4 linked regions of the Lepisosteus oculatus genome follow. The protein of the gene in region 2 interacts with the protein of the main gene of each other region in a pairwise test. Links are inferred from orthologs where the notes say so. Each region holds a gene or a part of one and is shown on either strand. Other genes may lie near its edges.

The links.
Region 1: the proteins of homeza (region 2) and differentially expressed in FDCP 6 homolog interact in binary tests that used the Homo sapiens proteins (3 or more experiments, as listed by UniProt). The two-hybrid records come from large-scale screens. The link is inferred for Lepisosteus oculatus from reciprocal best matches to the Homo sapiens genes HOMEZ and DEF6.
Region 3: the proteins of homeza (region 2) and smyd1b interact in binary tests that used the Homo sapiens proteins (3 or more experiments, as listed by UniProt). The link is inferred for Lepisosteus oculatus from reciprocal best matches to the Homo sapiens genes HOMEZ and SMYD1.
Region 4: the proteins of homeza (region 2) and eloa interact in binary tests that used the Homo sapiens proteins (3 or more experiments, as listed by UniProt). The two-hybrid records come from large-scale screens. The link is inferred for Lepisosteus oculatus from reciprocal best matches to the Homo sapiens genes HOMEZ and ELOA.

Annotation. Positions count from the first base shown.
Region 1 is NC_090700.1:37,020,939-37,028,908, reverse strand, and holds the start of differentially expressed in FDCP 6 homolog, read right to left. Parts: upstream 3,011-7,970; 5' UTR 2,951-3,010; coding exon 2,855-2,950; intron 1-2,854.
Region 2 is NC_090699.1:13,251,321-13,259,321, reverse strand, and holds the start of homeza (homeobox and leucine zipper encoding a), read right to left. Parts: upstream 3,008-8,001; 5' UTR 2,489-3,007; intron 127-2,488; 5' UTR 1-126. Other genes in the region: dhrs1 (dehydrogenase/reductase SDR family member 1), read right to left, coding at 7,324-7,460, 7,562-7,642. UniProt on the Homo sapiens protein: May function as a transcriptional regulator.
Region 3 is NC_090698.1:74,659,420-74,667,188, reverse strand, and holds the start of smyd1b (histone-lysine N-methyltransferase Smyd1), read right to left. Parts: upstream 3,007-7,769; 5' UTR 2,750-3,006; coding exon 2,628-2,749; intron 1-2,627. Other genes in the region: sepiapterin reductase, read right to left, coding at 5,186-5,376. UniProt on the Homo sapiens protein: Methylates histone H3 at 'Lys-4' (H3K4me), seems able to perform both mono-, di-, and trimethylation. Acts as a transcriptional repressor. Essential for cardiomyocyte differentiation and cardiac morphogenesis.
Region 4 is NC_090706.1:306,290-314,254, reverse strand, and holds the start of eloa (elongin-A), read right to left. Parts: upstream 3,006-7,965; 5' UTR 2,058-3,005; coding exon 1,810-2,057; intron 1,583-1,809; coding exon 1,504-1,582; intron 1,205-1,503; coding exon 1,148-1,204; intron 934-1,147; coding exon 821-933; intron 1-820. UniProt on the Homo sapiens protein: SIII, also known as elongin, is a general transcription elongation factor that increases the RNA polymerase II transcription elongation past template-encoded arresting sites.

The sequences.
Region 1 (7,970 bases), on a different chromosome or scaffold from region 2:
AGAACATTTAATGTAGATGCAATGAAGAGATTTCAAAATAAGACCAGAAAAGTGTTCTAAACTACATATTCACAAAGTTACCCACAGAGAGCAACAAATGTTGATTTTTAATTGTAAAACAATTTAAGCAATAGCTTTTAAATGAAAAGAAACACAGTGAATCCCAAACGTTTAGCAAAACTGTCACCAACTTTATTTTTTTATTTCTGGTTACGATCAGGAGGTGGAGAACTCTAGGTCTGAAAAGCCAACATAACTTCCGTGCGTATTTCGGATGATCTTGTTTGAACAGGGAACAAAAAAAAACGAACCTCTTTAAAAAATGAAAACTAGATATGATGTGCAGACCCAACTTTCTTGAATTTGTTTTTTTTTTTAAACTGTGTTTTGCAGGTTTTTTGTTATGACATGGAAGGAGAGAAACAGCATGTCAAACTAGAAAAAAAGAAATGAGAAGTGAGCTCTTTATTTCTACATGTCTGCAAACAGGAGATCTCAAGTTTCCTACCACATCCTGCCTACCCCACCTCCTTTCGCCAGAAGAAGGAGGGCGAGACTGATGCCGCCTGCCCGTGCCGAGCCGAGCCTGAGCTCGCTGCTGCTCTCCGCACAGCCCCTGCGCGTGAGGGGGATTATCCCGGTCATGGGACCCAATCCCTTCTCAGTCCCCGATTGCCAAGGGACAAGGGACACAGGCAGGTCAGCGCAGCCCGCAGACCAGGTGAACACGGACGTGAGAGAAGCCCACGAAGACGTCAAAATCACCCTCTGTCCTGGCGCCCCTGCAGGCGCCGAGACCCCTGGCCTACTGCTCAAGGGTCCTTCTCAGTCCCTCGGGGCAGACACTGCTGTGGCATCCTTGAGCCAAGGTGCTCTATCTTAATTTAATGTTAACTAGTGCTGGACTAGTGTTACAGTCAGCGAGAGGGATAATATACACTTGGCTGACTTTATGCACCAGGAATCACAGTCATCATGATGCCTCTGAGACACACGTATGCTTTTGGAATATTCTTACTCGATGTTCCCACAGACCCTGCAGACTTTGGCAGCGCTGACCCACCCCCTGTCCCCCCCAAAAATAAACCTCATGTTTTCACTGTCACTTTCACTGTCAAATCATTGTCTTGCACTACCTCCATCCACACTGTTAACAAGGGTTGTGGGTGTCTGGAACAAGCAACACATCCATGTTATTTAGGGTGATACCCTGGTTTCTTTCAAGAAATGGGTGGATAAGATCTGCAGAGTCATTAACTGCTAGAAACCAAACGTGTTAAATGGGTTGGATGGCCTCCCCTTGTTTGCCAAATTTCTTATAGTTTTGTGTTCACTCTCACATGGAGAAACACATCCCCTGAGGCTCCATGGAGTGTCTGAAATGTACAACACAGGTTGTGCCAGACCTGGTACTTTCAATCTCCCCACAGGTGTGGCATGAATTCAGTTTTCACAGGGCTGTGTGGGGCAGACTCAGTCCAGGTCAGGATACTCTCAGAAATACTTTGGTACCAGAGGGGGAAGTGACAATATGTCAAATATAAAATTAGCCATCAACAAAAGCCCCTCTCTGAACAGAATTCCAGGAGCTCCTTGACTGCATCACGGGGCCAGTGCTTCACTGAGTGACTCAGTACGAAATTCGGATGAAAAACGTAAGATGGATGAATGTCTTTCAGCCACAGAGTATTGTCACTTCCTCTTTTGAACAGGTCTGTGGAGCAAGTTGGTTCTGGGCCTTGAACTTCCTCACGGTCAGGATCTGAACCTGGAATGTGCACCCCCTCTCCAAAGTAAAAGACAGAAGCCAATGTTATGATTGATATAATCAATTCTTGCATACTGCAACATAGGCTCATGGGTTTCTTAATAAGGGCATACATATATCTGCATGGTCATTCATTGTCTTCACCTTTCAAACTACAGAAGGAAACTATCTACCTGTGTCTTATTCTGTGAAGCGTTAACTTTCAACAGCGCACGGGATATGGAAACTCCTGAAGTAAGAAATCAGTTTTAATCAAAATGTTTCTTAACCAGCTTGACTTTGCAAAATTCCTTCATTTTCCTCATGAAGAGACAAGAAATGAACTCACTCTTCATCTCTGGTCTTCACTTTTTAAGGCACACACTCTCATAATTGCGTACAAAAGAAAATTTCTGTGCTATGACAAATATTTATTTCAATTGTTTTTTTTTTGTTCTTAAAAGCAAGAGGTTGTCAAATAAGGCCTGGTGGCAACAATAGCACAAATATTTTTAGTTTTTAACTAAAAGCACTATAGGTCTTCATATATATGTCTTCATGGTAGGGTTGTGGACTATTAGAATTAGCTCACAGTTACTAAAGGAATTTCCCTAATAAATAAAGTACAGTTCCTGGAATGTAATTTGAAAGTAATTTTGTTCTTTACAAAATGAGAGAGCACCAAACGTGGTTGATGCTGGGCTTCACACGCAGATAAAACTTTCATCACAGACCATGCTGGCTGAGCCCTGCTGAATATAGACAGAGGATTTCAAATGATGGTGAAAACTGTGAGCAGAGCAGTCACCTGAACCAGGAAATGCACGACACTGAACACAGCAGAGCGAATCCCCTCAAATAAATCCATCTCAGCCCGCCAGGGACCAGACTGATTCCCACTCCAGCCAACTCACTTAAGACTTTTTAAAACCATGCTTGGAAGGGCATCAGTGGCGAGTGAAACTGCATGAGACGACAGCACATCGGAAGTCATAGCACCGAACATCGTCCCTGCAGAACAACATGACACTGCCAGAGTCTCTTCTTTGTCTCTCTTCAGCAACATCCACCAGCAGTAGAAACCTACGCACAACGGACCACACTTACCTTCAACTGTGATTTGGAGACCTTGCCACTCTTCTCCACGTCCAGAGCAGTGAAAGCATACCAGATGGACTTCAGCAACTCCCCTCGTAGCTCCATTACTGCTGCGGCATGACTTTCTTTTTTTCTTGTCTGTTTTTTTTCCCCTCACTAATCAGTTAAGATCTGCATCAACAGCAGCTATATCCGCCCAGCTCCTCACCAGTGTCCCTGAAGAACAAGAGCGCCCCCTGTCTTCTGCACCTTGCACTGCACCCTCCTGCTCCCCGCTCATGAAAACTGCTGATCCACTTAAAAGTCATCACCACCTACAGAAAGAGCCACTTTAAAACAGCTCATTTGTCAAGGAATGTCTCTTTAAAGGTGGAACTTTGTGTCAGTGTTTTTTTTTACTGAACCTACTGTGTACATCAGTTTGAAAGACTCCTGCTGGATCCCTGGAGAGCATCAGGGACCTCTGGTTCTTATTCCAGTTCTGATGTTCATTGATTAATTGAATTTAATTAATTGTTTGGAAAAGAAATGAAATCACTTTTTTTTAAGCCATAAGCAGATGACAATTGAACATAACCTGTAGAACGAACACAGAGGGACTCTGACCCTCATGGACAGGGACTCTGTGTTCTGTGCTGCTCTGCTGAAATATCACTTAGTGAAATACATTCATACTCATTACACAGCTTGAGTATTCTACTGGAGCGATTAGGGTGAGGTGTGTTGTGTAAGGGTACAACAGCTGTTTCTCATCTGGGATTCAAACTCACAACCTTCCAAGTACCAGTACAGAACTTTAACCACTGCTACACAGTCGTCCTGAAAGCACGCCCCACATACTGATGCTGAACGTTCATTCCATCTTGTGTATACAGTGACATATGTTCAAACCCATATTATGCAAGAATACTAATATTTAAAATCATCACTACATGCTAGTCAGTAGCAAGTTAGTGCCATTATGGCCTACATTAAAAACACGAGTTTGTAATTATATTGGGAATTGGCACGTTTCTACAATGCTGTTGCAGACAGATTCATGATCCTATAGAATGACCTTCTGAGGAATTGCTGTGAAGGTAGACAGGGGAGAGGGTGGAAGGCAGTTGGTTTTCAGCTGTGGGGAAGCACACAACTGGAAACTGGTGGGTGGAATGACAATGCTTCCTAGAGAAGTATATACAGAGAAGTATAATATAATACACATATACAGCATATCACATTTGCAGAACTACTGTCGCTGGCAGCCTGTGTCTGCAGTAAGGTTATTACTGACACACTTATTACAATGTGCAGTGCTTGCATTTCAGTAAATGCAACTAAATGCAAATGTAGACATTTTTAGCAAATACAACTTCTTCTAAGTTTGTCAAACTTTCAGTCATTGCACCATGTGACGTTGTAAGGAGTTTTCTGCCAAATGTGGAATACAGGTCACACTGTTCATAATTTCAGGGATTTCAGTTTGTGTCTCCAGCAGTGGAAACCGCATAGCCAAAGTTACTTCCCTAATTATCAGGAACCGTTTGAAAAGAAAGCTCTCGTCAAGAGATACATGATAAAAAAAAGTTTGTGCAACTGACTGCTCAGTTCATGTGTAGTATTTTTTAATGAACCGGAAATCAACCATTAAAAAGAGCAGGTATTAATAGTAAAAGGAATGGGAAATACAGAAATACAGACTGTTCTGCACTCTGCTCCTTTCACCACATAAAACACTCCTGCAGGTACTAAAGGCTTTTCCAAGTTGATCACTTGGAAATTATAAACACACTATTTCTACTGGACTTTAATTTTACTTGACCAAATACCCACTTTGCAGCCTGCCTGATCTGGTCAGATCTTAGATAAGCAGGGCTGGGCTGGGCCTCTAAAGAAAACTTGTTACAGCTGCTCTAAGTGGCATTGGTGAACCAGTAGGTGGTGCTCTCGCCTCTGCAATAGAAATTCCAAACCCCGTGTGGTGACCGGGAGCAGAGAGAGTTGCCACTGTTCATTATGTGTTAGATTAAACTGAGGTCCCTACAACTACATCATTACAGGTCCCAGGCACTGAATGTTAACTTCAGTGTCCTGGCTAAATGCCACTCCGGGCTTGTACAGTCTGACCTACCAGACGTTCACCCGAAATTCAGCCGGTGAAGTGATTTCTCTCCCCTCCTCTCGGTCTGCTGTGCAGTGGGGCTGCTGGGGCAGGACGGCTACTGCTTGTCACCTATCCGGGGGTCACTTCACCCACAGGTCCTGTCGCCTCCTGGAGTATCTGCTGTATCCCCACAGCTCCGGAGCCCGAGCTGGCACCGCTGTGCAGAGCACAAGAAAGTGAACAAACAGGAGGCCATTGGGACACTTGGCTCATTTGTTTTTCCATCCCTCCATTTTCTAACCACTTCATACAATCGAGGGTAGTGGGGAATCATCAGCAAGCAACTGGCGCAGTCGATCACAGGACACGCACACACGCACTGGCACCGGGGGCAAATTTCCCAGAAGCCGGTTAACTATCCGCTTGTCTTTGGACTGTGGAAGGAAACCGTAGCACTCGAAAGAAACCCACGTGAACATGGGGAGAGCATACAAACTTTTGGAACCATCTTTCTACCCTGCTGTCCCATTTTGTCTGTATCTGAATGTTCTGGGGATATCTTCTAGACGTTTCTTGAAAGAAGCCAGGGCGTTGGCTTCAACACGTTGCATGCGAGGGTTGCTACATGCTCCCACAGCTCTTTGTGCGCAAAACAGTACCTCCTGTTCTCGGTTGTAAATGCACCTGCCAGGAAAACCACCGCAATAAAGCAAAGAGTAGTGACAGGAAACTATGTACAATACCTACGCAATAAGAAGGCCTTGTGAGTCCTCGAGGTATTATAGTATTCGTTTTATACATTTTAGGAATTAATGTAGGAAAAGCAATCGAAGCTATCTGTTAAACGGGAAAAAAATATTCCTCTTTATTATTGGTGCGTCATTCACGCTCTGCAGTTGAGGTGACATAGACCAATAGGAATAAGGGAGATGTGTCAGATTTACCAATCGCAAGGAAGCAGGCGTGTCCGGAGGAAGAACAGTCAATGCTCTCTTCCAACGCGAATAGAGACCGCTCGGCTTAAGGAATCCGAACGAATTGACGAAAGGGGAGAAGGTATGTGAACAGGGACCGCTTCTGTATATCGAGTTATTTTATTTTAAAAAGACAATAGGAAAACCTACCTGAGCGGTGCGCGATTGCTTGCAGAACAGTATTTACAATGTCTCCTTGAGTTACCCGAAATCACGGTTTTTTTTGCTTCTGCTGTCAGTGAGGGACCCTAACAATGGTGCTGTGTACAAAACGTATGCTTTGCAGAACAGGTTCCGTTTTGATTTGTAAATTGCACTGTCTTGTGACACTCTAAATGACTATGCTGTCATTTATCTCCTGTCTGTGGGCAGTGGACAGGCATTTACCGACGTGTGCATGAAAGGTGTTTTTGTGTATTTGTATTTTGTATATTGACATGTACAGTATGACTGCCTCTGTGGTCACCACCTTGCGATGCGCCATGACATGTGTGGAGGTGGCGTTTAGTGGGTAGTGAGACGTCTTAAAAACAGATTGTATTCACAAATATCAGACTTAAGATCGCTCGCGTGGTTCATGTAAAAACAATACACACAGCTCAGTTGTTTACTATTTTTAATTCATTGACCTCACATTGTCAGCATTGGTAGGCCCGTGTATGGTCTCGACATTTACTGTAGCTTCGGATGCAGTGACTTAATACTAATAGGGCACTGACTTGCTATCTCACCTCACTTGCTGTCAGACTTTCTGTTTCACCGGACTGAGCGCATATGAAAAAAAAAGGCTGAGATTGGAGCCGATTTACCCGGCCACCTGAAGGACATGCTGTTGCGTGTTTTTTTCTACATTCGATTTTTATTTCTAATTAATTTTATGAGGAATACAAATAATGATCAATAATTGCATTTATAAGTGTTTTACACGCAGGTGACCCAGGGAAGGTGTTCTGCACCAGCTGCCCTGCAGCACATCATGGGTAAGAGGGAGAAACTGCCTCACCAGTTGGGTTGAGGGAAAACTTTAGGTAGGCAAGAGTGGGCAAGCCAAGAGAGCAGTGTAGCCAGGGCACTAGGGATTAACACTCCTAGAGTCCTGGGATCTTCAATGACCAAGAGGTCAGCAGGAGCTGGTCCTGGGTCACTATACTGGGCCATTGCTTTGGAAGTTCTGGTCAAGGGGGGAAAAATCACCAACTCGCCTCAAATCGACAGAAATATATCAGATATGATATATCTGAGGCGTGCGCCGTTGTCCACCTCCAATCTTTAGAGGAGCAGCCAGTTTTTCCTCTGAAGTCTCCTGTTCCAGTACTGACCTAACCAAGCCCTGCTTCTTTTCGGAGATGTGAAGAGATCAACCTGGAAGGTGGCAGCCCTGCTGTCAGAATTCCTCTGCAGCCCAAACTGAGCAAAGTAATCCCTTTAATAGGACTCCCACCCATCCCCACAGAAAGAGCAGAATTATATAAAAACAACTTGCACAAATGTTGAATTCTACATTTAATTTCACAGTATATAGTGTTCAGTAAAATTTCTAGTTTTACATTCGGATTACAACCATTGTGAGATTTTCGCTGGCCTGTGAACAAGTCGGATTAAGGGCTTTTAAAGAGACGCAATGTTCCCTCCCTCCTGAGTTAAATGGATAAATGGAGTTTCTGTAAAATAAGGCTTTTTTAAAAAAGAATTACCAATACACTACACTGTTCTACAAAACACAATTGAAAGCTTTATGCAACACTTGAAGGTTATTTCAGGCCTCTAGTGCGACCCCCATGTACAGTATACTGTGCTGTACAGTATATACAACCACACCTGCGGACAGATTTATACTGTAGGTACACACACAGAATGCAGTCAGGAGACAGTGCAGTACTACGCAAAGGTGCCTCATCACCAGCCCCCAGAATTATACCAGCCCTCTTCTTTTGGTACCAGCTGAGTCGCACCCCAGACTCCGGGCGTGCTGCTCCACTACGTGGCGCTCGGTCTCATCGTTTTGTGCACCAAAGGTCTGAGCAGCGCTTGTGTCCCACAGAGCCCCCTCGTGCGCCGCCGTGTC
Region 2 (8,001 bases):
TTCAGCCGAAGGGATGGGGAGAAGGGAGGGGGGAAAAGATGTCTTGTTCTCTTCTGGTCTTCTCTGTCCAACAACAAGGAGGCACTGTGCTCAGCAAACAAACTCCCCCCCTCGCAATGGGATGTTCTGTTAAGTGATGACAAAAAGGCCGTTATGGTTTCCTATAGTCACTGACTGGACACTACAGTACATTAACACTGCACTGAGAGAGAGGGGTTCATACAGACACACTGACTGACTGGACACTCCAGTACATTAACACTGCACTGAGAGAGAGGGGTTAACACAGACACACTGACTGACTGGACACTCCAGTACATTAACACTGCACTGAGAGAGAGGGGTTAATACAGACACACTGACTGACTGGACACTCCAGTACATTAACACTGCACTGAGAGAGAGGGGTTCATACAGACACACTGACTGGACACTTCAGTACATTAACACTGCACTGAGAGAGAGGGGTTAATACAGACACACTAACTGGACACTTCAGTACATTAACACTGCACTGAGAGAGAGGGGTTAATACAGACACACTAACTGGACACTCCAGTACATTAACACTGCACTGAGAGAGAGGGGTTCATACAGACACACTGACTGACTGGACACTCCAGTACATTAACACTGCACTGAGAGAGAGGGGTTCATACAGACACACTGACTGACTGGACACTCCAGTACATTAACACTGCACTGAGAGAGAGGGGTTCATACAGACACCCTGACTGACTGGACACTCCAGTACATTAACACTGCACTGAGAGAGAGGGGTTCATACAGACACACTGACTGACTGGACACTCCAGTACATTAACACTGCACTGAGAGAGAGGGGTTCATACAGACACACTGACTGACTGGACACTCCAGTACATTAACACTGCACTGAGAGAGAGGGGTTCATACAGACACACTGACTGACTGGACACTCCAGTACATTAACACTGCACTGAGAGAGAGGGGTTCATACAGACACACTGACTGACTGGACACTCCAGTACATTAACACTGCACTGAGAGAGAGGGGTTCATACAGACACACTGACTGACTGGACACTCCAGTACATTAACACTGCACTGAGAGAGAGGGGTTCATACAGACACACTGACTGACTGGACACTCCAGTACATTAACACTGCACTGAGAGAGAGGGGTTCATACAGACACACTGACACTGGCGTTATTAATACAAAGTAAACACAGCAGTATTAAACATGAAGACACGCAGTAACCCCGAAAGCAAGACCGATACAAGTTGCAGTAAGGGATTAGTTATTAACTGAGATTATGATCAGAGCTGTGTCAGTGGTCGAGAGGGTACGTATGATAATGTTTCAACAAATTGTGGGTGCTGTGCCTGCAGGACTTGTAGGTCTCCTGAAAGCAACAACAGCATCACCTGAGGAGCTGCTATACTGGTCCACGAAGCCAATTATTAATAAGGAAGATGAGAGGAGGCTCTTCTTTACACAGACAGTGGTGGGGGTGGAGAACAAGCTGCCCAGCCCTGTTGTTGAAGCCGATACCCTGGCTTCTCTCCAGACACAGCTGGGTGAGACCCTCCAGTCAGGACAGGAGGCTCCTCTTTACACAGAGGGTGGTGGGGGTGGGGAACAAGCTGCCCAGCCCTGTTGTTGAAGCCGATACCCTGGCTTCTCTCCAGACACAGCTGGGTGAGACCCTCCAGTCAGGACAGGAGGCTCTTCTTTACACAGAGGGGGGTGGGGGACAAGCTGCCCAGCCATGTTGTTGAACTGGACACAGCTGTCTGAGACCCTCGGAACGACTAACTGGTAACTTTCTGATCGGCCGATCTCTTCGTCCACCTCACCAACAAGCCGTAGACCCGTACCCCTCCAAAAACAACATGTTTGTTCTCCCTCTGACGCAGGTTATCAGAAGGATACCGCCTCAAAGTCACGCTAGCGGAGCACGGCCGCGGGCGAAAGCAGTCACGGAATCCCCTCCCACGCACAGCTCACGGACACAAACACCCCCCCCAGCAGAAGCAGCTGTTTCCGCTGGGCCCCCGGAAGACGATTCACCCCGCGAGAGAGTTCCACGGCCGGGTGGGCACCGGGGCGGACAGCCCCTGCTCCGGACACGGGGGCGGGGGGAGGTGGACACACGGTCATCGGGCCACCATCTCACACACACACATACACTCGGCTCCGTCCCGCAGCCTCGCTCGCACTCGCCACGGCCACCCCCGGGGCGCCCCCAGCCCCCCCAGCCCGGACTGGCCCGGGGGTCCTACGGGGGGGGGGGCAGGTCAGCGAGAGGCCCCGTCTGTACAGCCCCTGCAAGCCCGCTCCCCCCGCGGCCACACAGACACGCCATCACATCGCCATCACGGCGCAGCACCCCCAAAACAACAACAACGACAACAGGCACCCCAGCCACCCCGGCGGGGCTCACTATTGTCCCGGCGCCGTGTGCGCGGACAGCGGGGCAGCGAGGCGGCGGAGCCGGACTCACGGGGAGGCTGAGGTCGCGGCGTCTCCGGCTCTCCCGGCCGTCTCCCCTCCGCCGGAGCCCCGCCGAGGAGAAGCCGCGTCTCCGCCGGGCGGTGCGGGGTCTGCGGGGGCCGGACAGCGGCTGGTGTCGCTCCGCTGCTCTTCCAAACACCGGAGACCGTCTGCGTGCGTGTCCGTCTCTCCGCCCCCCTCCGCTCCGGACTGCTGGCGTGTTTTTTCTTAAAGAAGAAAAAAAAAGTTAAATAAAAGTCCCGAGTTTAAACTCCAAAGCAGGCGGAGGCCGCCTGCGTTCTCGTTGTCGTGTTTCTGCCGAGGGGGGGAGGGGGGGTCGTGTTTTCGGCCGGGCGCTCGCTGCGTCCCTCTCTCTCCTGCTCGCCGTGTTTTTGTTCTGAGCCGCTACGCGAGGCCGGGCGGGAGCAGGAAACTCGGGCAGCTAGGCCTCGGTCTCCCGGGGTGACGGCGGGGGGCGGGGCCCGCTTGCCATTAAAGGCGTAGCGGCGCGGGGCAGCCGGGACTCCGCTCGCACCGACTAGTTGGGAGAAAGGGGGCGGAGCGAGCGGGGTCAGGGGGCGGGGTAACGATGGGAGTACGTGCTCCAGGTAACGTAGAGCGAATAGGGCAGTTGCAGAAGGTGATGGGAGGGGGGGGGGTTGCGCTGTGAGGGCCGCCATCTTATGAAGGTATTCCTGGAAGAGGTTTTGGTTTTAAAGAGAGAAGGAAAGATATAGCTTTATTGTCCACCCACAAGGGCGGCAGTTTGTCTCGGGCGTCACCGTACACAACGACACTCAACGTGAAATATGCAACCAACGCATATACACACATCCGTCTCGTATATTAAAGCGCATATTTCTGCCGGTTACGGATGGGGTACGTTTATTTTGGTTTCATTTAGGCTGTTAACTGTTTATCGCCGACCTCCTTGTACACCGGCCGCGGAATTCTCCTGTTGGAGCTGGGAAGTGCAGTCAAGCCAGGTCATGAAGCGCCGGGGGCCGGAGTTTACTCTGCTGTTTCTGAGCGGGAGGGAGTGTGACTCCGGAGAGGTCCGATTCCGAGCGGGCACGGCAGTGTAAACGCGCTGGGTCTTTCGTATTTAGCCAGGAGGGGGCGGTTATCGCCTCCACCCCCTCAGCTCCACCGGCTCGAGTCTAGATCAGGGTCCCCTTTGTGTGGAATCGCCGTGAGGTTTAATAATAATAATAATAATTGCTTACACTTATATAGCGCTTTTCCGGACACTCCACTCAAAGCGCTTTACAGGTAATGGGGATCCCTCCACCACCAGGTACCTTCTGTGTGGAGTCTGTGGGTCTGAGGTTCCTCCAGGTACCTTCTGTGTGGAGTCTGCGTGGTGTCTGTGGGTCTGAGGTTCCTCCAGGGACCTTCTGTGTGGAGTCTGCGTGGTGTCTGTGGGTCTGAGGTTTCAGGTGTCTTCTGTGTGGAGTCTGCGTGGTGTCTGCAGGTCTGAGGTTTCAGGTGTCTTCTGTGTGGAGTCTGCGTGGTGTCTGCAGGTCTGAGGTTCCTCCAGGTGTCTTCTGTGTGGAGTCTGCGTGGTGTCTGCAGGTCTGAGGTTCCTCCAGGTGTCTTCTGTGTGGAGTCTGCGTGGTGTCTGCGGGTCTGAGGTTCCTCCAGGGACCTTCTGTGTGGAGTCTGCGTGGTGTCTGTGGGTCTGAGGTTCCTCCAGGGACCTTCTGTGTGGAGTCTGCGTGGTGTCTGTGGGTCTGAGGTTTCAGGTGTCTTCTGTGTGGAGTCTGCGTGGTGTCTGCAGGTCTGAGGTTCCTCCAGGGACCTTCTGTGTGGAGTCTGCGTGGTGTCTGCAGGTCTGAGGTTTCAGGTGTCTTCTGTGTGGAGTCTGCGTGGTGTCTGCAGGTCTGAGGTTTCAGGTGTCTTCTGTGTGGAGTCTGCGTGGTGTCTGCGGGTCTGAGGTTCCTCCAGGTGTCTTCTGTGTGGAGTCTGCGTGGTGTCTGCAGGTCTGAGGTTCCTCCAGGTGTCTTCTGTGTGGAGTCTGCGTGGTGTCTGTGGGTCTGAGGTTTCAGGTGTCTTCTGTGTGGAGTCTGCGTGGTGTCTGTGGGTCTGAGGTTTCAGGTGTCTTCTGTGTGGAGTCTGCGTGGTGTCTGCAGGTCTGAGGTTCCTCCAGGTGTCTTCTGTGTGGAGTCTGCGTGGTGTCTGCGGGTCTGAGGTTTCAGGTGTCTTCTGTGTGGAGTCTGCGTGGTGTCTGCGGGTCTGAGGTTCCTCCAGGGACCTTCTGTGTGGAGTCTGCGTGGTGTCTGTGGGTCTGAGGTTCCTCCAGGTGTCTTCTGTGTGGAGTCTGCGTGGTGTCTGTGGGTCTGAGGTTTCAGGTGTCTTCTGTGTGGAGTCTGCGTGGTGTCTGCGGGTCTGAGGTTCCTCCAGGGACCTTCTGTGTGGAGTCTGCGTGGTGTCTGTGGGTCTGAGGTTTCAGGTGTCTTCTGTGTGGAGTCTGCGTGGTGTCTGCAGGTCTGAGGTTCCTCCAGGTGTCTTCTGTGTGGAGTCTGCGTGGTGTCTGCAGGTCTGAGGTTCCTCCAGGTGTCTTCTGTGTGGAGTCTGCGTGGTGTCTGCGGGTCTGAGGTTCCTCCAGGTGTCTTCTGTGTGGAGTCTGCGTGGTGTCTGCGGGTCTGAGGTTCCTCCAGGGACCTTCTGTGTGGAGTCTGCGTGGTGTCTGCGGGTCTGAGGTTCCTTCAGGTACCTTCTGTGTGGAACCCCCTGTGTCCACAAGAGCTCTCTCATCTGTGTTCAAGAGCTCCTCCTGTTCTGTGGCCAGGAGCTCTCACCTGTTTCCAGAACCTCTTGTCTGCGTTCAGGAGCTCTCACCTGTTTCCAGGACCTCTTGTCTGCGTTCAGGAGCTCTCGTCTGTGGCCAGGACCTCTTGTCTGCGTTCAGGAGCTCTCCCTGTGTTCAAGTTCAAGATGTGTATCTTTCGCAGACAGATGCCCATCCTCTCGTGTGCGTCTCAGGACTCCTGCCTGTCGGGCTCCCTCATCGCAGAGAGAGGGGCTCATCGCAGCCTGTCCTGACGCTGGACAGAAAGCTGATTTCGATGGGGTGTGTGCGTGTGTGATGAACACTCCTCCCTGGGTCTCTGGGAGCTGTTATTGATAATTATAATGATAATAATTGCTTACACTTATATAGCGCTTTTCTGGACACTCCACTCATAGCGCTTTACAGGCTAATGGGGATCCCCTCCACCCCCCCAGTGTGCAGCCCCACCTGGATGATCCGACGGCAACCATAGTGCGCCAGAGCGCTCACCACACATCAGCTGAACTCCTCAGAGAAGTTCACATTCATCCTGAAAGATGAGCTGGAGTGTTTGAAAGGACTGTGGAGAAGACACTGAAAGCACTAGTATAGTTCAGAGCAGCTCCACAGATCAAAGCTCTTAGAGCACTATTATATTGACACTTTAAAACCCGACAGAACTCTGATGTGGCCGTCACTGTACCTGTTTTTCATGATCAATTTCACCGTTATCCTCTTAAGGAAAGAAATGCAAAGCTCCTACTGTGATTACCGTGTAACACTTAATAAAACTGTAAAAAACACCACTCGCACATTTAGAGTGTAAAACTAGTGCAGTACAGCACACTTTACTTCAGCTTCTTTAATGCAAAGTATAATACATTACGTTTAGAACAATGCTGGATTAATGACAAATAAAATGCTGTTTATTAGTCACTGGAAGCCTTCAGGGTGAGCTGACCTGGTGTTGGACAGACAGGACAGGCAGAGTCATCGTACTGATGGACAGGGGTTCAGTGTGAAGGTCAGAGGTCAGCGGGGTGTGTGTGTGGGGTAGCTGACCTGGTGTTGGACAGATAGGACAGGCAGAGTCATCGTACTGATGGACAGGGGTTCAGTGTGAAGGTCAGAGGTTAGCGGGGTGTGTGTGTGGGGTAGCTGACCTGGTGTTGGACAGACAGGACAGGCAGAGTCATCGTACTGATGGACAGGGGTTCAGTGTGAAGGTCAGAGGTCAGCGGGGTGTGTGTGTGGGGTAGCTGACCTGGTGTTGGACAGACAGGACAGGCAGAGTCATCATACTGATGGACAGGGGGTCAGTGTGAGGGTCAGAGGTCAGCAGGGTGTGTGTGGGGTAGCTGACCTGGTGTTGGACAGACAGGACAGGCAGAGTCATCGTACTGATGGACAGGGGTTCAGTGTGAAGGTCAGAGGTCAGCGGGGTGTGTGTGTGGGGTAGCTGACCTGGTGTTGGACAGACAGGACAGGCAGAGTCATCGTACTGATGGACAGGGGTTCAGTGTGAAGGTCAGAGGTCAGTGGGGTGTGTGTGGGGTAGCTGACCTGGTGTTGGACAGATAGGACAGGCAGAGTCATCGTACTGATGGACAGGGGTTCAGTGTGAAGGTCAGAGGTCAGCAGGGTGTGTGTGGGGTAGCTGACCTGGTGTTGGACAGATAGGACAGGCAGAGTCATCGTACTGATGGACAGGGGTTCAGTGTGAAGGTCAGAGGTCAGCAGGGTGTGTGTGTGGGGTAGCTGACCTGGTGTTGGACAGACAGGACAGGCAGAGTCATCGTACTGATGGACAGGGGGTCAGTGTGAAGGTCAGAGGTCAGCGGGGTGTGTGTGTGGGGTAGCTGACCTGGTGTTGGGCAGACAGGACAGGCAGAGTCATCGTACTGATGGACAGGGGGTCAGTGTGGGGGTCAGAGGTCATCGTACTGATGGACAGGGGGTCAGTGTGAGGGTCAGAGGTCATCGTGCTGATGGACAGGGGGTCAGTGTGAGGGTCAGAGGTCATTGTGCCGATGGACAGGGGATCACTGTGTAGGATCAGTGGGGTTACTGGGTCAGAACCGTCCGTGGAGCAGAGTGAGAACAAACTTGGGAAGACGCAGGAAAGAAGGGATGAAAGAGGACAGCCAGGAGAGGTAGGGCACTTGGGAGACGAGAAAACTGACGGACATGTTGTCAAACACACTGCGCCCTGAGAAACACAGAGAGAGAGAGAGAGAGACGTTAATGATACAGACACACTGAGAGAAACGACACTAGTCTTCTGTGTCTTACTGATAATCCTACTCATACCATCAACATCCCGAATATTATAGCGCCTTGCAAGATCTGAGGTCATCAGAACCTTCCCTGTCAGAGCCATCAGGTTTGTATCTGTAAGTAAAAGAGAAAATAAACATTAAAATGAATCAAGAGGCAGCAGACACATAGCACATGGCAACAGCACAGTGAGACAGTGGAGAGCAGTGAGACAGGGAGACAGTGTAGCGCAGTGAGACAGTCTAGCGCAGTGAGACAGTGGAGAGCAGTGAGACAGTGGAGACAGTAGCGCAGTGAGACAGGGAGACTGTAGAGCAGGGAGACAGTGTGGAGCAGAGAGATGGAGAGACTGTAGAGCAGGGAGACAGTGTGGAGCAGTGAGACGGAGAGACTGTAGAGCAGGGAGACAGTGTGGAGCAGTGAGACGGAGAGACTGTATATCAGTGAGACAGAGAGACTGTAGCGCAGTGAGA
Region 3 (7,769 bases), on a different chromosome or scaffold from region 2:
TGATCAGCTGGTCCTTTCTGTGTCCAATGGCAGATGACTGAGAAGGGTCTGCGGTTTTGTTCTGACAACGTGCACACTGACACTGTCCAGGCCGGTGTGCCGGGTGTTGCAGACAAAGCCGATGGCACTCGTGATAGTAGGCAGTCTGTGAGGTGAGGGTTGAAAATAGAAGCACAGCGTGAGTTTTCCAGGAAAACAGTAGGGTGGACTGGGGGGGGGGGGTTGTAAACAGGGTGGACAGAGAGGCACTGCTGCTGATGTGATGATATTTTTAATTTGACTAAGAGTAATCAATAAAATCATTCTATAATTCTAATTCTAACTATAAGAATTCTAAATTTCCACCAATCTCATCACATAAAGAAGGGGACCATATCCCCCACTGATGCAACCCCACCTGGGAGACACACAGGGATCATTCTGCACCAGCAGCCCCACCTGGGAGACACACAGGGATCATTCTGCACCAGCAGCCCCACCTGGGAGACACACGGGGATCATTCTGCACCAGCAGCCCCACCTGGGAGACACACAGGGATCATTCTGCACCAGCAGCCCCACCTGGGAGACACACAGGGATCATTCTGCACCAGCAGCCCCACCTGGGAGACACACAGGGATCATTCTGCACCAGCAGCCCCACCTGGGAGACACACGGGGATCATTCTGCACCAGCAGCCCCACCTGGGAGACACACAGGGATCATTCTGCACCAGCAGCCCCACCTGGGAGACACACAGGGATCATTCTGCACCAGCAGCCCCACCTGGGAGACACACGGGGATCATTCTGCACCAGCAGCCCCACCTGGGAGACACACAGGGATCATTCTGCACCAGCAGCCCCACCTGGGAGACACACAGGGATCATTCTGCACCAGCAGCCCCACCTGGGAGACACACAGGGATCATTCTGCACCAGCAGCCCCACCTGGGAGACACACAGGGATCATTCTGCACCAGCGGCCCCACCTGGGAGACACACAGGGATCATTCTGCACCAGCAGCCCCACCTGGGAGACACACAGGGATCATTCTGCACCAGCGGCCCCACTGCACAGTGGATCAGGGGGAGGAGAGAGAAACTGCAGCCCCAGGTGATTTAGGAGAAGTTTCAGTCAGGGGTGCAGATGGTCTGGCTCATCCAGCTGAGAGATCTGTGGAGACCAGTATCTAGAAAACTAGATCCAGGTATTTCACTTTAAAGCTCTCTCAGACTAATAGAGAAGAAAGTAAAGCAAAAATGTAATTTTCTTGTTAAAAACTAACCAGGAATGTTTTATTAAATAATTATTAATTTTATTCTGCTCTCTTAATATGTGTATATACAGTACAGTATATACCATTATAGGCATAAAATATTGTAAAGTTTGTGTTTATTCTGTAATTCTTTGTGAAAAGGAAATAAAGTTCTTAAAAGCAAAATAAGTTAAAAGAATTGAGGGAGTCCAGATTGGATAAAAGCAGGGTGGAATTTTCCAGGACACTGGGGTTAACACTGTGTCCCAAGCTCTAGTGAATATCTAGTCAGGGCTTGAGTGTGACAATCTGAAGGGCGATGCCTCCTACAGCACAGTGTAGGTGTGCTGGGGGATTGCTTTGGACATTCTGAACAGATCCTGAAGAGCGCCTCCTACTGGCCCACCAACAGCCTTTCAGAGTCTGGTTTTCCTTAGAGGTCTCCCATCCCAGTACTGACCTGGACCAGACTGCTTATCTCCTGAGATCTTATCACAATACAGAATACAAGGTGGTAACGCTGCTGCGGTTAGCACAACACAACTTTGAGACTTAGGTTCTGAAGCATAATAACAATTCCATTTACTGCACAACAGCACTACCCCTTTACTGTATCTACAGCCTTCGGTGTTTAGACTTTTAGCTGTTTCCTGCACTGGAAACTCAGGACCCTACTGAACACACTACAGCCCATCACCCCGACACTGAGCTACTGAACACACTGCAGCCCATTACCTGACACTGAACTACTGAAACCACTGCAACCCAGCACACTGACACTGAGATACTGAACACACTGCAGCCCAGCACACTGACACTGAGATACTGAACACACTGCAGCCAAACACACTGACACTCGGCACCTGAAGACACTGCAGCGGAGCACTCTAAAAGTGAACTACTGAACACACCAGCACCCTAACATGGTTGTGGGCGTATGAACAGATACCCTGGCTTCTTTCCCGGAACAGCTGGATGAGACACCCCAGTGAGGACAGGGGGCTCGTCCCCCCACACAGGGCTGTGACAGCTGGGAACAAGCTGCCCAGGCTTGTGGGTGGAGCCGATACCCTGGCTTCTTTCACTTACTGGATGACAACTAGATGACTAGATGGACATACCATTTTTACGTTCTTAACACTGAGCAGCTAGACACACAGAAGCCCCCGGCGGCAGCGCTGTGATTCTGAACACGCAGCAGCTCGGCAGTCCATGACAGTCACTGCACGCCCACTGGCAGCTGTGCACAGCCCTCAGCTCCCGCCCTGAACCCCGCCTGGCCGCCGGTCAGCGTGTCCTCACGCGCTCCACACCGACGAGCTGCCTGCGCCTCTCTGGTGCTGTCCAGCACGCTCCGCACGGACCCGCCCCGGCCAGGACCGGGCCTACCTGTCGAACACCACGGCGGCGAAGCTGGGCTCCGCGAACAGCACGTCTCCGGCCCAGAGCTCCCGGGTGGCCCTCAGCCCGCGGCCCTTGCCCTCCGACTGGAACACCTCGACGCTCTCCATGCTCTCCGGGGTCGCTGCTCACACTGGCCGAGAGGAATGTCCTGCCTGCTCCCTCCCTGACTCGGGCTTTCAACACCTTCTCTGGCCACTCCCCCAGCAGGGCCCGAAATAGACTCGGCCCCCAAGCGCTGCAGCTCCCGGGCGCGGGGGGGGTCGTCCTGCCCGCAAAGCGAGCCCTGAGCACAGCTCACACCCGCGCAGGACCGCGGCCGCCTCTGCACTCACTCCCCCAGGGAGCTCTCTCTCGGGGGGAGACACGGCCAACTGCCGCGGGACCAGGCCCTGCAGGGCTGTGGTGTGTTTCAGCTTCCCCTTGTTTGGGAGAAATTGGGCCGTCCCAGTGTATTTTTAGCAGCCAGAAGTGCCTGCCTGTCACCCGGGGCAGCTGGGAGAGCGTGGGCTGTGTGGCCACCAGCAACCTTTTACCAGAGTGGCGGCCTGAGCCCATTTCCAGAAACCTCCAGAACAAAGAGCTGCCCTCCGCTGCCCTCCCCCACCCCCCGCCACCCCCAGCTCTGGCTGGTCTCACTGACCAGTCCCATCACAGTGTGACAGCAGGGAGAGGGGAGAGAGGGCTCAGCCCAGCCCCGAAGGACAGCAGGGTCTTGGGAAAGGAGGGCAGGGCGGACAGGCAGACCCAGGTCCCATCAGATCCCCAGAACCGGCCTTCGCAGGAACAGCCCCTGGAGACACAGCTCCTCTCGAGCTCCCTGTGAGCTCACAGCTGCTGCTCCTCAGAGACCAGGAGGAAACCCGACACACAGCGCACAGTCACAACAGCCCGCGCCGGGAAGCCTGGAGTCTCTCGGAGACTCTGCTGTTCTTCAAGACTGAAGGCTCACACTATACCGAACGTACCAGGATTTTTTTTACCGCGAGCAGTTTCTGAACCTTTTCTGAACCTCTCAGAGCGCCACAGCAGCGTCCCCGGGCAGTGTCAGTGTGACCCCACACCCCACACTCCTGCAGGACGTACACAGCGCATTCACCCCACTGTCCACCCCTCCACACGCTGGCCAGGCTCAGTCACGTCACCCCTGGTCCGTAGTGCTTCTGCACCCTGATCCTGAGGAGGGACAGGGCCGGGCGCAGGGATCAGGAGGCAGGAGTTCCCAGCCCATCCGCAGGCACAACGCAGGGATGATCCCGATGGATCTTCTTCCACAACAACACCGCAAACAACTTCTTCAATGGATTTTATTTATGACAAAATACTCTCCCGTACACCAGAACACTCACAACTGAGACAAGGGTACTGTGCCCAGATTTTCAGACATCACTGATACATTAATAACAATATCATCAACAATAACAGAACACACGTTCTTAAGGCACTGCACAAACTTCTGAACGCAGACTGGGACCAGAGCCCCTCCCCCTGCCCTGTCCCACCCCACAAGGGGGCGCCACAGCCCAGCCACCACCTGACACACGAGGACGAGAGGGACACAGCTCTCTGCGGCATCCCTCACTGTACGCTGGTTGTGTGCTGAAACACTGGCAGGGCCCAGAGCATAAGAAATCATTAAACAGTAGAAGGTGTGCACACTGCGCATCTCATTGCTGTGAACAATTCCTTTGGACAGAATTGCAGTATCTTTGGGGCTGCCTTCTCTCTCCTAGGGCACCCTACACCCAGCACCCCACAGAGAGGCACAGTCAGAGCCATCAGCTGTAATACAGAGGCCTCAGTAAAGCATGAAAGATTGGTCTCTTCTCTCGTGAACGTGTGCTTCTGAAGCCGTCCTGTCCGGCCGATAAGAAGTCCACTCACTGAGCTTCTCACCACTCAGGAAAAAGCACAGCACACAACCAAAATCAACCAGGTCACTGCAGAGGGGTTACAGAAGCGGGAAAATAAGGCGCAGGACACAGGGTGGGAGACGAGACAGGAGAGACAGGAGCCCACTTCACTGCTCTGCGCTCACAGGCTCCGAGAGTCCAGGTTTGCACAAACAGACAGTTGAGGAATGTGATCTGTACTTCTTCAAACTGGAATGACGACCAGACGTATTCAGTGTTCTGTCCAGCAGCGAGTCAGCTGTATCACTGTTTCAGTAGAGTTGCTGTGGTCCAGTTACAGGTCAGTGGGGTGGCTGTGGTCCAGTTACAGGTCAGTGGGGTGGTCCAGTTACAGGTCAGTGGGGTGGCTGTGGTCCAGCTGCAGGTCAGTGGGGTGGCTGTGGTCCAGCTGCAGGTCAGTGGGGTGGTCCACTTACAGGTCAGTGGGGTGGTCCAGCTGCAGGTCAGTGGGGTGGCTGTGGTCCAGTTACAGGTCAGTGGGGTGGCTGTGGTCCAGCTGCAGGTCAGTGGGGTGGTCCACTTACAGGTCAGTGCACTGGTAGGTTACAGGTCGGTAGTGTAGTGTGGCTCCAGTCTAAATACAGGACAGTACGATGGTCCAGCTGGCGTAGCTGTGTGCTGTGGCGGGGGGGTCTAGATGTCGTAATAGTCGATTTGTGCCCCAGACTGGTACTGGTCCTCGAGCAGCAGCTGCGCCAGCTTGGCACCGGACTGGGAACAGGACAACAGCCCCCCCTTGCTGTGCATGTCGGAAAAGGACTGTCGGACCTGCGCGTCCCCAGTGAGGCTGCGAGCCTGCGTCTGCATGTCCGTGTCCAGAGGGCCTGCAGAGAGAGGCAGCGTCACGTCAGGGAGACAGAACAGAAACACTGAAGTACAGAGAAGGAGAAGGTGCCCACTCACACTTACACCCCCACTGACCTCTCTCCTCCCACTGTCACTCCTATCTCTCTCTCCACCATTCAATTCAAACAGCTTTATCGGCATGACAAAGCATATACAATTGACAAAACATCTACAGACATTTACAATACAGACACATCATAGTGCATGTACATATAAACATATGGAGAATTATTGAGAGACAGGCTCACTATTCCTCAGGCTGGGACAGGAGATCACACACTGTATTATTATTATAGAGAGACAGGCTCACTATTCCTCAGGCTGTGACAGGAGATCACACACTGTATTATTATTATTGAGAGACGGGCTCACTGTCTGTTCCTCAGGCTGGGACAGGAGATCACACACTGTATTATTATTATTGAGAGACAGGCTGACTGTTCCTCAGGCTGGGACAGGAGATCACACACTGAATTATTATTATTGAGAGACAGGCTCACTGTCTGTTCCTCAGGCTGGGACAGGAGATCACACACTGTATTATTATTATTGAGAGACAGGCTCACTATTCCTCAGGCTGTGACAGGAGATCACACACTGTATTATTATTATTGAGAGACAGGCTCACTGTCTGTTCCTCAGGCTGGGACAGGAGATCACACACTGTATTATTATTATTGAGAGACAGGCTCACTGTCTGTTCCTCAGGCTGGGACAGGAGATCACACACTGTATTATTATTATTGAGAGACAGGCTCACTGTCTGTTCCTCAGGCTGGGACAGGAGATCACACACTGTATTATTATTATTGAGAGACAGGCTCACTATTCCTCAGGCTGTGACAGGAGATCACACACTGTATTATTATTATTGAGAGACAGGCTCACTGTCTGTTCCTCAGGCTGGGACAGGAGATCACACACTGTATTATTATTATTGAGAGACAGGCTCACTGTCTGTTCCTCAGGCTGGGACAGGAGATCACACACTGTATTATTATTATTGAGAGACAGGCTTACTGTCTGTTCCTCAGGCTGTGACAGGAGATCACACACTGTATTATTATTATTATTATTATTATTATTATTATTATTATTGAGAGACAGGCTCACTGTCTGTTCCTCAGGCTGTGACAGGAGATCACATACTGGGCTGCCAGTTCAACTGAGTTCCCTCTTCCCTCTCCCAGTAGGTTTGGGAGCTGTTGTGATTCTGGGAGGTGTGGGAACTCTCGGATTAGATTTCTGAATTTAGAGAAGAATGTTTCTCTAATCCCAGAGTATCTGTCACAGTGCAGTAGGAAGTGCACCTGTCTCTACAGTGGGAGCACAGCCTGTCCTCTCTGGGCAGCCAGGTCTGCCTGTGTCGCCCAGTTTCTATGGCCAGGCTGTGGTCACTCAGCCTGTATTTCGTCAGGGTCTGTTTCTTTTTGCTGTTTCTTATCTTGATCAAATATTCAGCTAGTGTCTGTTGTCTGTCTAGGGTTCTGTAGCATTCCAGTTGATGTTGTGTTTGTGTGTGTGTGTGTCCCAGTGTGTGAGATATTGCTGTTTGATCTGTGCTGTGATGTGCTTGTGTCTGAGTTGTGGTGCTCTAGCAGTGCTGTCCTGAGGCTGGTTAGTGTTGGTGTGGCTCAGGTCAGTGAGCCTCAGGACCAGCTGGCTCAGGGGGCTCTGTTTTGGGCTCAGCAGGGCTTCGTGGTGGTAGAGGTTTTGGTTGCTGTTTTTAGGTGTAGCCAATACTTTAATACTCTTTTCTGTATGTTTATCAATAGTGGGTACTGGCCTAATTCGGCCCTGCACCCGTTGTTAGGAGTTTTTCTCTGCACACGGAGGATGTTTCTACAGATCCCATTTGCAGAGTTTCTGTGGGGTGTTTGTCCCATTGAGTGTAATCCTGGTCTGTGAGGGGACCCCACACTTCACTGCCGTATAGGGCAATGGGTTGGATTACACTTTCAAATATTTGGAGCCAGATTCTTGTTGATGGGTTGATGTTGAAAAGCCTCCTTCTTATTGTGTAGCTAGGTGAAAACTCACAGATGAGCTGATAGTCAGACCAATATGTATGTGTAGCTGGATGTGTGCTTCAATGTGTTGTTGAGTGTGAAGTGGTACCTGTTTCCCTGAGATCTGGTTTTCTTCTGGAAAACCATGACTCTGGTCTTGTCCAGATGGGCTGTCAGCGCCCAGGTCTGACAGTCCTGCTCCAGCAGTGCCAGGCTCTGTTGCTGACCCTGTTCTGGGTCCAGATGGGCTGGCAGTGCCCAGGTCTGACAGCACTACTCCAGCAGTGCCAGGCTCTGCTGTTCGGGGTCCAGATGGGCTGTCAGCGCCCAGGTCTGACAGTACTGCTCCAGCAGTGCCAGGC
Region 4 (7,965 bases), on a different chromosome or scaffold from region 2:
GGAGCTCCGCTGCACAGAGAGAGAGGCTGGAGCTCAGACACACCTGGAGCTCAGCTGCACAGAGAGAGAGGCTGGAGCTCAGACACACCTGGAGCTCAGCTGCACAGAGAGAGAGGCTGGAGCTCAGACACACCTGGAGCTCCGCTGCACAGAGAGAGAGGCTGGAGCTCAGACACACCTGGAGCTCCGCTGCACAGAGAGAGAGGCTGGAGCTCAGACACACCTGGAGCTCCGCTGCACAGAGAGAGAGAGGCTGGAGCTCAGACACACCTGGAGCTCCACTGCACAGAGAGAGAGGCTGGAGCTCAGACACACCTGGAGCTCCGCTGCACAGAGAGAGAGGCTGGAGCTCAGACACACCTGGAGCTCCGCTGCACAGAGAGAGGCTGGAGCTCAGACACACCTGGAGCTCCGCTGCACAGAGAGAGAGAGGCTGGAGCTCAGACACACCTGGAGCTCCGCTGCACAGAGAGAGAGGCTGGAGCTCAGACACACCTGGAGCTCCGCTGCACAGAGAGAGAGAGGCTGGAGCTCAGACACACCTGGAGCTCCGCTGCACAGAGAGAGAGGCTGGAGCTCAGACACACCTGGAGCTCCGCTGCACAGAGAGAGAGGCTGGAGCTCAGACACACCTGGAGCTCCGCTGCACAGAGAGAGGCTGGAGCTCAGACACACCTGGAGCTCAGCTGCACAGAGAGAGAGGCTGGAGCTCAGACACACCTGGAGCTGAGCTGTCAGAACAGACTCCACTACAGACTCACTCTCCAGCCCAATTCACTCTGCTCCCCCCTCCCAGTTCTCCAGCATTCCCAGTACGCACCTGTCCACCGCCTGAGGCACCAGCTTCTTCCACTTGGCCACCAGGCTCTTGGCCGTCTCCCCCACATGCTCATGCTTCCTCAGGGAGTTCACTGCCTTGCCCACCCCTGTCTCCTGCAGGCAGAGAGGGAGAAGGTAAGAGGAAGAATACGGTCCACAGTGAGGGAGGAAGAGTACTGTCCACGGTGAGGGAAGAAAAATACTGTCCACAGTGAGGGAGGAAGAGTACTGTCTGCAGTGAGGGAGGAAGAGTACTGTCCACGGTGAGGGAGGAAGAGTACGGTCCACTACAAGGGAGGAAGAGTGCGGCCCGCAGTGAGTCTCTCACCACCAGGATGTCCACAGTGATGGGGAGCTCTCCCAGTCTCTTCAGAGTCTTGAGCAGCTGCATAGACACAGAGAAAACAAACAACATCAGGACTCAGCGGGCCCAGGCGGGCCGGTCCAGACCCAGCGGGGGCCCAGGCGGCCGGTCCAGACCCAGCGGGCCCAGGCGGGCCGGTCTGGGCCCAGCGCAGATATAACTGATCGATTCATAAAAACTGGGGTTTGATTAACTCAGAGCAGAGGCTGGGACACTGCCCAGGCTTCACATATAAATGTCTTTATTTACACTCAGCACATAGTGAAAATTCCTTACACTAATATAGCGCTTATCTGCACACAGCGCTCAAAGCTCCTTACAGGTCGTGGGGATCCCCTCCAGCACCAGCAGTGTGCAGCCCCACCTGGATGATGCGCCAGTCCGCTCCCCGCACACCAGCTCTCAGTGGGGAGGAGAGCGAGAGAGGACAGCGTGTAAGATGTCTCCCGTCCGTTTTTGTCTTTTCCTCTCTTTATGCTGTCTTTTACACTGTTAGCTGTACACAATGCTTGCTCGATGATCAGCTATGACCGACAAACGCTAATGGACATAAGATCAACTGTCGGCTCAGCGAGGTCTGCACCCAATATGGCAATGGATTACCTGGCCTACAGTTTCAAGCGCACCTGTTCCCGAGGGCAACGGTGCAGGAAGAGAGGTAGGCGGGTCGGGGTCTTGGTAAGACTGAGACAACACTGGAATCGCCCTGCGCTTCCGAGCAAGTTCGATCCCTGGACAACAAGCTGCACGGGCTGCAGCCCCTCTGGACACCGCTGTCGATCCGAGAGGGTTTTCCGTGCTCCGTCAGGACAGGACAACGGACTCGGGGAAGATCAGGGTGGAGGAATAACTCCTGGTGCACAGACCAGTTCATCGTCACGCCCCCACATCCTGAACACCTGACAATTAAATGTCGCCCCTTCTATGTACACCAGTGTACACTGGTCCTCACGGCGGTGTGTACTGCGCCGCAGAGCCCTGGAGGAGCTACACCAACACCTAGGCAGACATGAGAACTCACCCCGAGGACTCATCCGTCACAGCGGGGGATCAGAAGAAACTCAAGCCTAACCTGCATCAGCACATCGACTGCCCGACGCGCAAAACAAACACGTTGGACAGTGTTTACACTCCCCTCCAGGATGGCTACAAAGCCCTCCCCCAACCTCCTTTCGGCAAATCCGATCACACCTCCATCCTGCTACTCCCTGCCTGTAGGCAGAAACTCCAGCAGGAGAAGCCTGTGACAGGGACCACCCAGCGCCGGTCGGAGGAATCGGACCCTGTTCTAAGCCACTGCTTTGCCACCCCTGACTGGCAGATTTTTTGTGAAGCTGCAGGGAACTACATTAATCTGTACGCAGACTACGCTACTGGCTACATCAGCAAATGTACAGAAGATGTTGTCCCAAGGATCACTGTTCGCACATACCCAAATCAGAAAGATCACTTTAATTTCTTGTATGAGGAATCTGTCTTTTCTCATACCCCAGCTTGCTCTCCATGAGACACACAGACAGGGAGAGAAGCTGGGGGTCAGAGCGTAGGGTCAGCCATTTATACGGCGCCCCTGGAGCAGTTGGGGTTAAGGGCCTTGCTCAGGGGCTCAACAGAGTAGAATTCCTCTGCCGGCCGCGGGATTCGAACCGGCAACCTTCCCCAGGGCTGCTTATTCAGCCCTCACCTCTACTCCCTCTTCACCCACGACTGCGTCGCCAGGAACAAAACAGACTCCATCATTAAGTTCGCGGATGATACAACCATATCAAGCAGCCATATCACCCTGCAGCTCACAACTGGCAGCCCTCTGAAGCTCAGCAGGTGTGAGCCTGGTCAGTACCTGGATGGGAGACCTCTTGGGAAAAACTAAGGTTGCTGCTGGAAGAGGTGTTAGTGGGGCCAGCAGGGGGTGCTCACCCTGCGGTCTGTGTGGGTCCTAATGCCCCAGTATAGTGACGGGACACTATACTGTAAACAGGTGCTGTCCTTCAGATGAGATGTAAAACCGAGGTCCTGACTCTCTGTGGTCATTAAAAATCCCAGGGCGTTTCTAGAAAAGAGTAGGGGGGTAACCCCGGTGTCCTGGCCAAATTTCCCATTGGCCCTTACCACTCATGGCCTCCTAATAATCCCCATCTCTGAACTGGCTTCATTACTCTGCTCTCCTCCCCACTGAGAGCTGGTGTGTGGTGAGCGTTCTGGCGCACTATGGCTGTTGTCGCATCATCCAGGTGGGGCTGCACGCTGGTGGTGGTGGGGGGGATCCCCATTACCTGTAAAGTGCTTTGAGTGGAGTGTCCAGAAAAGCGCTATATTAGTGTAAGCAATAATATATTATTATTATTATTATTACAACGATCATCGGCTTGATCCCGAACAGTGATGAGTCCGCGTACAGGGAGGAGGCATGAAGTCAGGACAACCTTTCTCTCAACACCAGCAAAACTAAGCAGCTGATGGTAGTTTTGTCCGAGGAACAGACCACACACCCATTCACATCAGCAGGTCCGCAGTGGAGAGAGTCAACAGTCTCATATTCCCAGGTGTCAACATCACAGACGATCTAACCTGGACCCACCACACCAACCTCGTAGCCAAGACAGCACGGCAGCTTTCTCTGTCCGCAGATTAAAGAAGTTAATCCGTCTCACATCCTGACCAGCTTCTACAGCTGCACCACTGAGAGCATCCTACCCGGCTGCACCCCTGCCTGGTGTGGTAACTGCTCCGCCCGAGAGCTCAGGGTCCTCCAGAGGGGGGTGAAACCGGCGCCAAACGCCACCAACTGCGCTACGGAACATCGGGGTAACTCCTCTGTTAGACGCCTCAAGAAGGCCAGGACTGTCCCCAGGGACCCCAGTCACTCTCACCACAACTTGCTCTCTCTGCTACCATCTGGGCACCGGTACCGAAGTGTCCGGACCAAGACCACCAAGTGTCGGAACAGCTTCTTCAGCAGTAAGACTCCTAAGCAGCCAACCACAGCAGACGCCTGCAGTTACCCCAACGGCCGCTGGCGAACAGGCCCTCCTGTCACTCTCAGGACACATACCAAGAGCGCTAAATACCTCCTATCCCTGTGCTACTTTCGCACAATCTGTGATTGTATTGTAAATTGCAATTGTGTCATTTATTGTATTCTAATGTTAATCTAATCCCTATAAATTCCTGTTCTTCTACTCTCCTGTCCCTCTTAACGAGCTCGCGGACAAAGCATTTCACTGCCGACAACACCGCTCTGTGCTGTACTGTTCGTCCATCGATCAATAAACCTTCATTGATTGACTGATAGATTGATGAAGCCAGTTCAGAGATGGGGATTATTAGGAGGCCATGATTGGTAAGGGCCAATGGGAAATGTGGCCAAGACACCGGGGTTACACCCCTACTCATCTCAAGAGACGCCCTGGGATTTTTAATGACCACAGAGAGTCAGGACCTCAGTTTTACGTCTCATCCGAAGGACGGCGCCTGTTTACAGTACAGTGTCCCCGTCACTATACTGGGGCATTAGGACACACACAGACTGCAGGGTGAGCACCCCCTACTGGCCCCACTAACACCTCTTCCAGCAGCAGCCTTAGTTTTTCCCAGGAGGTCTCCCATCCAGATACTCACACCTGCTGAGCTTCAATGGGCTGCCAGCTGTGAGCTGCAGGATGACATGGCTGCTGGCTCAGGGTTCGAACCTGCGTGGTTAGACCCTGTTGGATTTCGAGGCCAACGCCTTAACCTCTCTGCCATCGCAGCCGACGAAAAACAGAACCTCTACATGATTGCGTGTGGTAGGTCTGTGGGTAAATCAGGCCTGCCTGCGCAAGCACTGCGCTGCACCCGGCTCAGGACTGCTCCTGTTTGTGCTTGGCGTTGTGCAGCAGCTGGAGGCCGCGCAGCTCGCGCACGCATCAGGTACGTCCGCGCGCGCTGTCGTCGTCTACCACCTCGTGACGTCATGGACGAAACGGAAATTATGTTGTTATTGTCACTCAGTTTGCCCACGTCGGGGGGGAGGGGGAGACGGTCGGGGACTTGTGCGTGGAGTCTGTGTTTACGGCACGGATTGGGTCACCGTGGTAGTGCGCTGGAGAGCAGAGCGAGCACAACCGCCCCCCCCCCGGACAAGCGCTCGCTCCCGGCCGGACACTGACGGACAGGTCGATCCCGTGTCCAGATTTCCGGCGAGTGCTGCCGGCCGGACTCTGCAGCCGAGCGCCGTGCAGAGCTAGTACCCGTCCTGCCCGATACCGCAGACACGACCTGCGCTCCACAGACCGTCGCTTTATTACTATAAACCGTGACGTGATCTAGAAAAAAGACAGACAATCGACGCTACACTGTCCAGCTGAGAGGGCGATGCAATGCTGTCCGCCTACCCTGTCCCCGCTAGCACCCATGCCTTCTTCGGTAGCCCAGGTCTTTACCTTTCTGGGTTCCTGGTTGTCCGACAGCCTGGACTGCAGCCTGTCCACCGTTTCCAGCAAGTCCTCCGCCATCTTTACTGCTGGCACCCTCACCCGGAACGTGCTTAGCTGTGCCCTGCCGACGACGCAACGGAGTTGCCCTCACTGCCGCATGGCTTCATCCATGCCCACAGATGACATGGCGTGTGGGGGGAGGGCATGACTATCCCAGAAAGTACTAGATAGGCCAATTCTATTTATCACATGACCTTAAATGCGCTGACTGTTACACCATTTTACTGCGGTCACTCAGTACCTCACCAACTTTCCAGTTTTAACGATGAGATAAACAACGATTAACAACAACGTAAATTGCTTTTTTATACCTCACAATTATTTAGTACGTAACTGTTACAAATATCCTTTGGCTAGTGGGGCTGAAGCAAAATGACTGACGCTTGTTACATTTCCAGGGTAAACAGTAATTCTATGGTGTTCAGGAACGAAAGGTGCATTGTGGGATACCTGGGAGCGGAAATGGCTTGTAAACGTCATCAAAACCAATAGGAAGAGATTCTGTTTAGCTTTAATTTTTAAGTTTTTATTTAAACAGCAGAAATACAAAAAATGAGAAATACAGAAATAGGCAAACTTCACAGACCGAGGAATTTACCATTATTTACCATTTACCATTGGTGGTGGTGGAGGGGATCCCCATTACCTGTAAAGCGCTTTGAGTGGAGTGTCCAGAAAAGCGCTATATAAGTGTAAGCAATTATTATTATTATTATTATTATGAAAGCTGAAAATAATGCTTTTTACATATTTCTATTGTATGTTTTGCCTTTTGATTCTTTAATCACACAAAGCAGGGTCCAGCCGGGACACCCTGTCCATCGTAGGACACACACACACCAGCATGACTCTGGACTGTGGGAGGAAACCGATGTGAATAGAGAACATGAGGAGAACATGCAAACTCCACACAGACACCCGACGTCCAGAATCGAACCCAGGGCCTCAGTGCTGTGGCACCGTCCTGCTCCCCAATCAAAGTCCACTGCGTGAATTTCTTTTGCACTGTTTTTACATGATTGAACAGGTCCCCCTGAGTGCTGAGACTGGGAGCTACTGTGTTTCTCAAGGGGGGGGAAGATGGCTGTGGAGTTGATGTGATCTCTCTCCAGCGCTGGAAAACCTCAGCCTAGAGGAAAGGAACGGTGTCTCCTCACCTCTGAAAGTGCCCAGTAATAGTTCGGGAACGCCAGCATCCTGCACCCTCCTTCTTGTGCTGGTCAGGGGGCAGGCCGTGTGCGTCTGGGCGGCGTGTCCAGTCCTGCGCTGCCCCGTCAGAGCTGGACAAAAACACAGCTGAACAAGCACAACTGTCTGTTTCAGGGCCTCAAGGGTTAATTGCCTTTCTGGCTCTGTCCCACCTAAGGGGATGTCAGCTGACTGGGCTGGAGGATATTTTAGGAGTGGGGGTGTCTGTATTTGGAACTGGGGGGGGACATTCCATTCCCCTCAAAACAGCTTCGGTCTCACGCTGCCAAGGACAGACAGACACAGGGACAGGGACAGAGGGAGAGAGAGACGCATGACAGAGGGAACAGAGAGCAGCACACCCAGCCAGAAAGGGAGAAGAAGAGAAGACAGAAAGCAGCCGAGAGAGAGGTGAGCTGTGCAGCTTGTTCTGGCCTGTTGACTCGGTCGGGGGCTGGCTGGTCGTGGAATGAGAGCTCTGTCTGCACTGACACAGCCGGACAGAGTCACAGGGGACTCACCTGGACCTGAGGCACAGGACAGAGGGAGAGAGAGGAACAGGCAGCTGGAGCAGACACCCTGTCCAGCTCAAACACATCACTGTCATCATCAAATCCAAATACAGGCTCCGGTGTGTGTATCTCACATTGAGCGCTGTGCTCTGGGTGTGAGTGTGTGTGTGGGAGTGAGCGCTGTGCTCTGGGTGTGAGTGTGTGTGTGTGTGGGAGTGAGCGCTGTGCTCTGGGTGGGAGTGTGTGTGGGAGTGAGCGCTGTGCTCTGGGTGTGAGTGTGTGTGTGTGTGGGAGTGAGTGCTGTGCTCTGGGTGTGAGGGTGTGTGTGGGAGTGAGCGCTGTGCTCTGGGTGGGAGTGTGTGTGTGGGAGTGAGCGCTGTGCTCTGGGTGTGTGTGTGTGGGAGTGAGCGCTGTGCTCTGGGTGTGAGTGTGTGTGTGGGAGTGAGCGCTGTGCTCTGGGTGTGAGTGTGAGTGTGTGTGTGGGAGTGAGCGCTGTGCTCTGGGTGGGAGTGTGTGTGTGGGAGTGAGCGCTGTGCTCTGGGTGTGTGTGTGTGGGAGTGAGCGCTGTGCTCTGGGTGTGAGTGTGAGTGTGTGTGTGGGAGTGAGC